2 linked regions of the Schizosaccharomyces pombe genome follow. The protein of the gene in region 2 interacts with the protein of the main gene of each other region in a pairwise test. Each region holds a gene or a part of one and is shown on either strand. Other genes may lie near its edges.

The links.
Region 1: the proteins of naa50 (region 2) and naa15 interact in a two-hybrid assay, tested with the Schizosaccharomyces pombe proteins (one large-scale study listed by BioGRID).

What each region holds. Positions count from the first base shown.
Region 1 is NC_003421.2:1,360,833-1,366,869, reverse strand, and holds naa15 (NatA N-acetyltransferase complex regulatory subunit Naa15), read right to left. Parts: upstream 4,253-6,037; 5' UTR 4,243-4,252; coding exon 4,189-4,242; exon of another isoform or gene 4,154-4,188; intron 4,138-4,153; coding exon 2,002-4,137; 3' UTR 1,917-2,001; downstream 1-1,916. Other genes in the region: ubiquitin-conjugating enzyme Mms2, read right to left, coding at 53-191, 239-249; Hsp20 family protein, read right to left, coding at 1,229-1,648.
Region 2 is NC_003421.2:1,654,934-1,660,922, reverse strand, and holds naa50 (NatA N-acetyltransferase subunit Naa50), read left to right. Parts: upstream 1-3,365; 5' UTR 3,366-3,406; coding exon 3,407-3,841; 3' UTR 3,842-4,022; downstream 4,023-5,989. Other genes in the region: SPOM_SPCC663.15C (uncharacterized protein), read left to right, coding at 1-641; trp663 (TRP-like ion channel protein), read left to right, coding at 1,140-2,288, 2,378-3,292; poly(A) polymerase Cid12, read right to left, coding at 4,244-5,254.

The DNA of each region.
Region 1 (6,037 bases), 300 kb from region 2:
CATTTTTTTTACATCAATTTAACACTTGAAATATACCCCAATAGAAACATACATGGGCAGGTCCTAAAATCGTTGCATTCCAGTCGGACAATGTAATATCATCGGCGTTCGTCAAACCATATGAGCAAGAACTCTCTCCGAGGCCTTTTTCGCCCTTTTCTAGCTCTTCAAGTAATTTAAAATTGCGAGGGCTATCAAAATTAGTAATTGTTATCGACTTTAATATGTCTAATCATACACTTTTGCCATCGTTTGTGGTACTTGGTTAATGGATGCGGTGCATTCGGATCTCACAGTATCTTTGTTGATCATTTCAAAACAAGATCTGAAGATTCAAATTGGTGCTTTTATATTGAATTATTGTAATTTGAATCTAAATTGTGTCTAGATTAATAGTCCTAGCAGATCCGTGAGTACCTTCTCTTCCTTACTTGATTAATACATTACAAATACAAATGCATGATTACAGAGAATAAATTTTTCTAATATTCGATCAACGAAACTATTCGAAGAATAAAGAATACAGGATAGATACCAAAACCATCAATAATTACTGTAACATTTGGTTAAAGTTGGGTCTCGAAAACATTCGAACCAAGGCTAGCAATCTGTCAAAGTATATTTCAACAATTACTTTATAGAATATTCAATACTGGTTTAGTGAACCTGTCACAGGCTGCAATTTCAATATTTTTTCCCTACATTGGAAAAAGATAAAAAATCAACTTTTTGCCAAGGTCAAAAGTGAAGTCAAATATCCTTTGAACGATGTATTCTAAAAACATATCAAATGTAAAAATACAAATCATTAATTTGTTAGAATTTATCCTATTTCTGTAGTGTATTGATAACGTAAAACTTGCCAATATTTTATTTAATTTTGTAGCAGTCTGATATCCCATTTTCAGATAGAAGGGAGAAAAATAGCTTTTCATTTACTTTCATAGATTATGAATAGAACTCATAATATATTAATCCTCCGTTATTTAGCAATAAGCCTGATACTTGAGCAAATCGATGCCAAGCGTATGAAGCCATGCTTGAGAATATATAGCCGTTAATAATCAAATTTCTCTTAAAGGAGGGTAGTACTTTGGTTTTTATCTGTTACATGCAGTTTATCGGATGTCATGCAAAAAAGGTGGTGAACAAACATAAAACAAGCATTAAAATGCCAGGACCAAAAAAAGACAATGCTATAGTTTAAATTAGCATTGAGTATTTGAAACTACTGAATTTCAACAATTCTTGTCGTAAACTCAGGGTTCTTTTTCTTCATAACAATGCTTAGGATACCATTGTTAAGAGAAGCGTGTATAAGTTTTTCATCGACAGGCTGAGGAAGGGTTATCGTACGTGAAAAAGCACCTACACATCTTTCACTCCAGCGAATAAGAGGGCCCGCTTTTTCTTCCTCTGGCTTTTTACGCTCACCAGAAATAGTCAACTTCGATCCATGTAAATCAACTTTAAGGTTTTGCTTATCGATTCCAGGGACTTCAACATCAACTTCAATAGTATCCTCTGTTTCTCTTAGCTCCAATGCTGGGCCCCAGCACGATAACCATGCCGATCTGTTGAATTTCGATCGGTCACCAAATTCAAAAATATCATTCATAAATCCGTTAGTAAAAGCATCAAACAACATATTAAATGTGTTTACAATGAAATAAAAATTTAACTTTGATTAAGATGAGTAATAATTAATCAAAGCGTAAGCAAATTGAAGGACAATTGCGTTTCGGATATCCTAAGTACGTGTGGGTTGGTGATGCTACATATATATGCGTAGGCAAAAACCGGGATTTGTTAAATATACCAGAATATTCTCTCTGTAACAATATAATAAAACAAGACATTTCAATGGTACAATGGGGTGCACAAAACAATGAAAATACCATCTTTATATTATTTCCATGCACTTTTATTTTCCATACTAATTTGTTAAACAAAGTGGTTTGCAGCTTCTATTATTGTACAAAAAGTAAAAAACCTTTTATTTTAGTTAGACTGAGTTTTGATAGAGTTATAAAACTTCTCTGTAGATATCACAGTTGGGTCATTCTGTCCCAAAATTACTTTAGCTTGTTCGAGGTATTTACTAGCGGTATCGAAATTTTTCAAACGAGTGTAAAGTTGAGCCGCCAAAATGTAAGCACTTGGGTTTTTATCTCCATAGGGGAGTAATTTTTCAAGACATTTTTGAGCTTCTTTCAAAGGTTCACTAGTAGCAACTAAGTTCTCCCCAAGAGGATCCTCATCATACTTTACCGGCATACCGTCCTCAGATTTTGCACGAGATTTATCGGCCTCTTTTAGCTTCTCAGCACGTTCCAATCGTTTACTAAGGTCCTTCTTCAGCTTCTTGTATATCTTCTTTTCCTCTTCTTCATTTATTTCTCCACTAGAAAGCTTCTCAAAATCGGGTAATTTAGGGCTATATTTAGCAAATGGTAAATCAAATAAGGCAAAATAGATTTCAATAGACCCTTGGGCAGCCTCTCTAAACGAAGGATCGTCATAAACACTGTCTTCCCAAGACATTAAGTCCAGGTATGTACGAAGAGATCCCTTGCGAAATGCGAAGAAGTGGAAATCAAATTGATCATCAGCCCAAGTATCAAATATTTTAAAAACAGTACTAAAACGTTTCAAAGCCAAAGCAAATTTTTTTTGTCTAGCAAATGATTTCCCATCTTCAAGCATGTACCACAGGCATTGCATATCTGCAAGATCGCCAACAGCACCACCAACAGCCTCATTGCGTGTAAACAACGATACCGTTTTGGCGGCAAGTTCATTTTCATCATTACGGAGCATATATTTAGCACACTTGCCGTTAATAAATCTATCTTGCAGATCAAGTTTACGAGCATGATCCATAATCTCCATGGCAGTTTGAAGCTCTCCCTTATGTTTGGAAATCCTAGCTTTCGTCATGAACAGCTCCACAAGCGTTGGGGTATGATCAATTGCCAAATCAACATATTTCTCAGCTTTTTCCAACTCACCAACATGATCAAAATGCTGAGCTAAAAAGTAATATGTCCATAAAAGCGTGGTGGGAATTTCAATCTGTGAATTATCGTCATCTTCAGAAAATTTGTTGGTCGTAGAAAGAGAGGAAGCGTATTTACTAACCAAATCCTCAACAACTTTGCATTTTTTGGTATCTTTGTACAAAGATTTGACATCGACGAACACAGATGGGATTCCACGCTTAAGCTTTTTGCGCAAGTAAAGATCTACATGAGTTAAAAACTCATCCCCTTCAAGCTTTTCTAAAGGTAGTCTCGTAGGGCACTCAGATTTGGGATACCTTTTAGCAAGTTGAGAATATAAATTCAACCACTCAGCACTATCCAATACTTTACCACTGGCATCCTCATACCCATACGCTCTTTGAAGATTATAATAATATTGGTGATTGTCTGGATTTCGATCAAGCAGAAGATATATGGTTGATTTGGCTTCTTCCATTTTGGAAAGATAAAGCTCGTACTCTGCCCGAGTCTCCAAAAACGCAACCCGATCCAATACCTTCTTTTCTATTGACAGTAAATGCTTATAGGCATCCTCAACACCATCTTTTTTTAATATAACAAGGTTCATGAATAACATGGCTTCGGATTCTTCTTGGGTATCAACGGGCACACCTTGATTTATAGTGGATTCAAATGCATCCACTATTTTATATGCACTAGCGTATTCCCCTCGAAGAAATTGAGCTACTGCTAAAGCGCTCCAATTGGCACGTACTCCTGGATTGTCCTGCAGCAAAGCATTCCTAGTGTCTGCTAGAGCCTTGTATTGACGAAGTTGAGATTGGAGTAACGCCAAGTCACGCAAAAGACTCGAGTTGTTTTTCTCAAGCTTATGAGCATTAATGTAACATTTAGCGGCCTGTACATAATCTTTATCGGCTCTGCTAATTAGTCCGAAAATGTGCCAACAAACACCGGATCCAACATCGTTGCGAAGACCAAGTCGTACGTTGTCGTATCCTTCTTTGGTATTACCTAAAGAGTGTAATAAAATTCCCTTAATTGCTAAGGATTCTCCATGCTCTGGATGCCTTTCTAACAGGGGTTCGATAGCCTTTAATCCTTTTTTGTACTGTTTTGTTTCATAGCATTTCTACAGGGTTAGAGAAATTTTCAATTTGTTAATTGTAGAAGATTAACATACTAATGCTGTTCTAAAAAGGGTAATCTCCTTCGGGCTCAGTTGAACTTTGGCCATGGGTAAGTGTAGAGGACAGGTTGGGAAGAGTACGAACCCTTGGAATGAATTTCGTTAATGTGTTCCACATTGCAAGGTTGCTTTCTTCTTCATTACTCTTTGTCTTGTGCTTATAAAAAGACGTTGATTCATAAATTATCTCGTATCGTTGAATGTTAGACCTGGAAGAAATGGTTTTGTAGAAAAAGACAGCAAACATTGCGTTCATACTTCGCTGAGTACTACATATTCAAAAAATCGTTTATGGAAACTTATCGAATAGCCATGCAATGGACGATGGATGGTAAACATGAAAAGATGGCACATCGAGAACAATTTTTGCATGTCCTTCTTATATGAAAATACGAAAATTCAAAGAGTAAACAAACTATTTTTAAGTATTTTGGCCAGTATCGATGAACCAAATGACTACATCAATTTTCATTATTGGTTCAATTGCTAGTTGTTTGCAATTACTGGGGACACGGTATTACATATCTGTAAGGCAAAGTTTATCGGGAATCTTTTGAATAGAAAACCAGTATACTCCAGTATATTTATAAACTAATTATTATTTGGCAATACCACTTAATTATTTAAAACGGTTCGTAGCTTCACTCCTCAACTAGAAACGTCCCAACATCCAAGGTTGAAACAAAAGGTACATTACAAACTAGAGAAGTTAAAACAATCAGTGGATTGAAAATCTCTTAAATTTACTAATTCCTGATACTATGGGATACGACTTCACATTTCTACAGACTTCCTCATCTAGCAATACACTAGTTCTGTTAAACAAAATTGGATAATTGTGCCTTTAAAAATATTACAGAAAAAAAGTATAATGGCAATTTTTTCTTATCTGTAGGATTTGTTTAGCAGCTACACGAGATTTACCTACCTTGCGGAGTTCTCAGTAGAAGAAGAACTCGTTGCTTTTCAAGTATTTGGCAAACAGAGATGCATTGCACAAAAATTTGAAATATCCTTTCGAATGCGAAGGATACATTATTTTTTTTAATCAAAAAAATTGCAATTAACAAGTTAATTGCAACACACGAAAAGTATCAAATACGCTATAAGAAAAGTTTCTTTAATTTAACGATATGTATTCTACTAAGCAGGTACCGTAATTAGCCTTCAAATCCTCAAGTGAAGAAAGATTTTTATATTAACTAGAACGCTGGATGAATCTCATTATCTAAGAAAAAACAATGGATGAGAAATTATGGTAAATTAAGCATTGAAGAGACTTAAAGAGTCGAATACTGATTTTTAGATTTGCGAAGTGCAAGATCCCGCGCAAGAAAAAGTTTCACATTTTCTACTATAATTTATATTTCTAAAAAGAAAAAATTTATAAAAACTTCTTTATCTTTCAGACAATAGTATTTTATATAAACAATGAATATCACTCTCTTTTAATGGAATCTTACAAAAATATCTACTTATTAATATGTTACTTCAAATCTGCAGCAATCAACGTTGCCCCTATGGCTTAGTGGTACAGCATCGCACTTGTAATGCGAAGATCCTTGGTTCGATTCCGAGTGGGGGCAATTTGTATTCTTGTTATTGCTTACTTTTATTAGGAGGAGCATCGTACAGCTGTTATTTTATCCCAGCCATACTACACTGTATTGCATTGTATTACGTTTTTGCATATCACTTTTATGTGCGGTGTTTAATTCATTCTGTTAGCTTTGCATAATAAAGCTACCAAAACAGATACTTATTACTAGTTAAACGATACTGTAAAATAACATTTACAATTATAGCATTCCCAAGGCTATAAGTGGGATGTACTAAACCACGT
Region 2 (5,989 bases):
GAGAATTTATGAATGCGTTTTATAATATCATTTACGAAGCACATCAAGCTGCCGATTTTTCACAAGCTATTTATGACTTTCAGTATTTCTTATGGGATGTTATTCAGCTTTCAAAGGCCGGTGCTCCCTTAGTAAAGTTCATCAATCTTGTTGAACGTTATCAAAGCTGCTTTGTCCGTTTCATTCACCGACTTGTTGTGAATGCGCCCGATCTTTGTGGAGAGTGGTGCGACTGGTATCGCCATTGTTTAAAACAATTTAGTGTTGAGGTGAAGACTCCTGATGCGGTAGATGTTGCCCATAAAGCTTTAAATACCTTGGATGAAGAGACAAAACATCAAGTTTTGGAAGAAATTGGTGATTATGTGAAGGAACTTGATGAAGAAAGCAAGAAGGCTATTGAGAATAAAGATAGTACTAGTGAATGGCTTTTACATCTTTATAACTTCTTTGGGTCCGCAATTATTACACCCACTACAGCTCATGGAGTACCGCAGCCACAACTTCCAAATTGTGGAATGAAATTAAATAGAACTAAAGAGAAGCTGCTGACTCCTTTTCGAAATCTTTTAATGGAGCAACTCAACGAATTACAAGCGAAAAATCAAGAAACGCCTTCAGAAATGACTTCAACAGAATAATTTTATTACTAATTGAGGTCCAAAACATAATGACATAAAATCAAGTGAGGCTCGCACATTCCATCATTTCTTCTCACAACTACAAATGAAATGAAAATGCATTTCTTTTTTTTATTCTTTACTAATGATACATTCTTTACCATTATATTGCTTTTTTCATAGTGTAAAATTGTGAGCGTAAGAACAATGCTAAGATGGTGGTAACTAAATAAACGAAGCCACGTTCTGTATTCTTTTTCGTAAAAATCTTAAAGCTTCAATCGTTTCATTACTATTTATTTAATCCTTGTATTTAACTCAATGCTATGGTTGTTAAAAAATACGACTGCTATTTCGTAAACATTACAGTCAAATTACGGCATTTGAGTTCAGTAGCATGTTTTTGTTATTCGTGATAGTTTGGTAATTCTGAGGAAAGTTCATTTTAATTTTTTTTGCATTCGTTCCAAAGTTAAACCCTCTACATAACTGGAAGGGGGATGTTAATGGAAAATGAAAATGAAGCTAATACTCTTAGCTTACTTTGCAGTTTTAAGTAATATCTTATCGTCAGTGGAAGGTCGAGTAAGATATAGTAAGAGACCAAATCACAAACTTGGAACAGCCGAGTACGCAGAATGCATGTCAAATGCCCCGATAGTGTTTAATCGGTTTGATGCAAGTTATTATACACGAAACTTGTCAGTAGTCTTTAATATTCTTGGATATTCATCTGTGGACGCAAATGTTACGTTTGATATTATAGTTGAAGCTTATGGAGAGCAGAGGGCAAGATTTACTTTCGACCCTTGTGAAATAAATCTTAATACTGTGTGCCCAGTTGCAAGAGATACAGCTATAACCACACAGGGAATACTTCCAGTGAGCCCTCAAGATGTTCAGATGATCCCAAAAATTGCCTGGGGAATTCCTGATTTTGAAGGCTTAGTGCGTTTTCGCATGTATCGCTCAGAAGACATCGCAGCGTCATCCATCGATAATTCTACACCACTTGCGTGCATGATCGCGACACTTAATAATGGTCATACGTTTAAAAATAAAGTCGTAAAAGCTCTAAGTGGAACTGCTTTGGCATTGAGTATAGCAGGCGTCTTAGGCTTTTATGTAATTGGAATGGAGCATAGCACCTATCTGACACGTCAGGTTTTCATCAATTCCGTTCCTTCTTTGCAGCACATGGGAGAGCTACTTCAATGTATAGCTTTCACGGGAGCAATTGGAATTACACAGCCAAAAGTGCTAGTCGCATGGGCTAGTAATTTTGCATGGATTCTAGGATTTATTACCAATAAAGAGATAGAAAACAGCCTTGAGTCTTTTAGAAAGCATTCCAATGGAAACCTAAGTTCTCCAAAGATAGGTGGAGTCCATCGAAGAGATGCTGTTGCAACAAACCCTCAAAGCCCGATTCCTGGATTTTACCATGGGTTTCAAGGCCTAGCCACCGAAGTTGGAACGCTAACAACGAATTTATTTACACTCACTTTAATATGGTTTTTGATTTCTTTGGCCATAGCAGGAGGAATCGTTATAATATTCGTACTTATTATTAAGTTTCTTCGTCAGACACGTATAATCGCAAAATCTTCATGCGATTATATCACAAGGTATTGGTTTAGAGTACTTTTTAATGCTTGTATGAGATGGGTAAGTTAATTGAACAAAGGAATGAGTTGTTCATACATAGCTCTTAACGACTTTTTTGCTTTATACTTATACTAATCTGGTTGATATAGGTGTTGGTTTGTTGGCCTGTATTGGTAACTATGATAATTTACCAGTTTACACTTAGGGAAGCATATGGCCCTGTAATATTGGCGGCTTTGCTTCTGGCACTGCTTTTTGGGCTTTTCCTTTGGTTAACTATCAAAGTCATAAGAGTGATAACAACGTCAGGCTTGAGTAACGAGGACAATCCAGAAACATTGATAAGCGATCCAAAAATATACACATGGTGGGGATGGTTATATTTGGATTTAAAAGAACGGCGATGGCTCTATGTTTACGCCTGCTTTGCACATTATTTTAGTTTTGCATTGGTTTTAGCGTTAGTACAACAGTTTGCGAAGATTCAAACTATACTTCTATTTGTTATTGAAATCATCTCTTTTATATTGCTAGCAGTGTTTCGGCCTTTTGTTGGTTTCAAAAATTCCTTTTGCGTCTTTTTGGTTGCTCTCACCCGAGTGGTTTCCTTTGCTCTTCTCATACCGATAGCATTTGATTTAGCAATCATTCCGAAAGTGATCATTGCAATCATTCTTATCATTATACAAGGGCTGGTATTTTCATTTATGGCCCTGTGGAGCCTTTGGAACTTCATTACTATGCTAGGTACAGCATGGCCAGCCATTAGCTACACAGTCCCTTGGCTTAGAAGATTAATAGATGAATATCAAAGACAACTTCATATTGACTTTGAGAATCCTGCGGTTTCTGCAAGTGAAAAGCTATCCACCGAAGAGATTATCCCACAAGAATCAAATTTTGAAGAGCCCTCTACCACAAAGAAAGAAGGAAACGTAGACACAAAGGAAGATGGAAATGACGATGTCTTCAGCCTTGTTAACGCTTCTCCTATGCGACCAGCATCTACAATACCTTCACATTCATGTGACAACGGGATTAATGAAATGCAGCGTACTGTTTAAAGATTTTATCGTGGATGTTTCCAACTCAAACTATTGCATTAGAATGCCTTAAAGACTGAAAGTTGACAACACCAAGTACATATAGAAAAAGATATTTGCATTTGCATAAAAAAGATGATTGAACTTGATGCGATTAACCCTAATAATCTGAAAATCCTTGAAGTTATTAACGAAAAGTGTTTTGATCCTGAAATCATTATATTTCCAACCTCCTTTTACAAAGACACAATCTCAGTCGGGCCTTTAGCACAATATGCGTACTTTAACCAGGTCTGCGTAGGAGCTGTTAGATGCAAAAAAGAAACACATAATAAATCGCACAAAATCCAAATTTTATCTTTGGCAGTTTTGCCAGCCTATCGAAACCGTTCTATTGGTACCAAGCTGTTGGAATATGCTTGCGAGACTGCAGCTGAGGGAAAAGCCAAAGAAATTTACATTAAATTAAGCCCTAAACTCGATGTATCCGAATGGTTTATTCATCGGGGATTCATTATTGATGAGAGCTCCAAAACAGAAGATAGCGTCCTTCTTTCGAAAAAGCTATAGATTGCACACACATTTATTAATCTAAGTGAAATGCAATTATTAAATTGACTTGAAAATCTAACATGGATCCTTGGATAGATTTTAAAAGAATAAAATAGATTTAATTTTGAAATTTTTAAAGAACAGATTTTGTTAGCACCTTCAATAGGTACAAAATGTGATATCATTTGAAACAGCCGAACCTTGCCTAAGTAAAATTAAAAGACTTGAAAATGACTAAGATAATTGTAGGATTCTTATATCCTATCAATAATAAGAATATGAATCCATTCAATTAAACAAGAGTAAAGTACATACGAACTGTAGTGAAACATTACCACATGCGGCAAGACAACTTAGGAATTGAAAAACAAATGTTTATTTAAACAGCGAGCATTATTTTTTAAATGCATTAACCCGCAGTTATCCGCCAGCTTGTAATTCATCTGATTCCGTATCACTATCATATCCCTCCACCAAACTTCGTTTAGTATTTATAACATTTTCAAACTGTTTACACAAAAACATTTCATCTTCCGTAATTGCAAAGGTGCTAAACCATGTCTTATCGGATAATAATTCATTAGCTGAAGCAACAAATGCAGCTTTAATCATACTAATTTGAAATGATTGCTTTCCAATGTCGTTATTTCTGTCAATTGGATCTTCAATAGATAGCAAATTTGGTTGCACTTCGTTTAACCAGCCCTTTTGTAGCTTAGGAACTATTTGACCGGTTAAAGGTCTCAATACAAAAAGTTCGTATGTCCATTCGACTCCCCAAAAATAGAAGAATTTCTGTAGTAAAGCTCGAATTGGTTGCACTTCCGAATCAATTCCCTTTTTGTGAAATCGCATTTCAAGCCAACCAATTAGCATATAAGAGAGCGCGCAACTTGCAATCCCGCCATGATGAACGTTTTCCAAATCTCTTTCAAACAACCAGTGCTTCAATAGCATCAGCAATCTACCAAAAATTGGGTGTTCTTCGTTATAAGCTTTTTGCAATTCAGCAGTTCTGCAAGCTTTGTCATTTCCAAACGTCAAATCCACCCCAATTCCACTAACATCTACTAAATTGATGCGAGGGACTCTGGCACTAGAATGGAAATCAGCATCAGCATCCAAGTACTTTCTTAAAACCATGGTGACGCGTCGTTTCTCCAATTCTCCAACTCGAGGTGACTTCAAAGATACGTCTACATCACTTATAGATAATGTTGTTCCAATATACATGCTACCGTATACTTGAAGTTCAGCATCCAAAACGACCTCCCTAATGTGAGTCTGTAGTTTCTCTAACAAAAGCTTTCTGTACTTCAATTCCTCGATTTTCGGGCTTACGAACTCCAAAAATGAATAAAGTCGAGCATTATCACTCAAACCTTCTTCATTCCATGGTACTGAATGCAGCTCTAACAGGACTTTACCCATTCTTAAGAAATGGCATTTTGGCTAATTTTAATATCAATGGATTCAATTTCATGGCTCCTCGCACATAACGAGGTCGTGCGAGTGCCTTGTAATTATATGTAAATAAATCATTTTATAGCAAAAAAAAGTATCACGAGTTTTTAATCAATAAATAACTTATTTGTTTTTATAAATAATAGAATGATTGACTGCAAAAGCTTCCTAGTCTCATACAGCATTTATAGCGAAAACCAAAGATTATGAACCCAAGAAAAGCAAGCAAAAGATAGATAAGTACTCCCTCATCTCTCATTGTGCAAATTTTAACTTAAGCATGTGTATTTCGATTTTTAAAGGTTTCCTTTATGATATTTTTATTTGATAAACGAATTCGTTGGTTTACGCATGTAAATACTGTCATGGCGTCTAAATACATATGAAAATAAAATAAAATTAATCCAAGTAATTAGTCATGTACTTCTTTCTTTTTGGTAATCTGATTCGTAATGAACAGTGTAGGACTAAGTGTAACAATCATAATTTAGCAAAAGACAAATTCACAAAAAACAGTCAACTTGAAATAATCACGGAAAGATGAATATAAGGTGTTTTTTTGAAATCCCCTTTCGCTCAAGCAGTGTAAAAGTGACTATAATAAGGAATTATTGAACCAAGAAAACATTAATAAATATCATGCAATAACACAGAAACAAAATCTCCTTTGTTTTTTTTGGACATCAAAAATTTGAAATTATT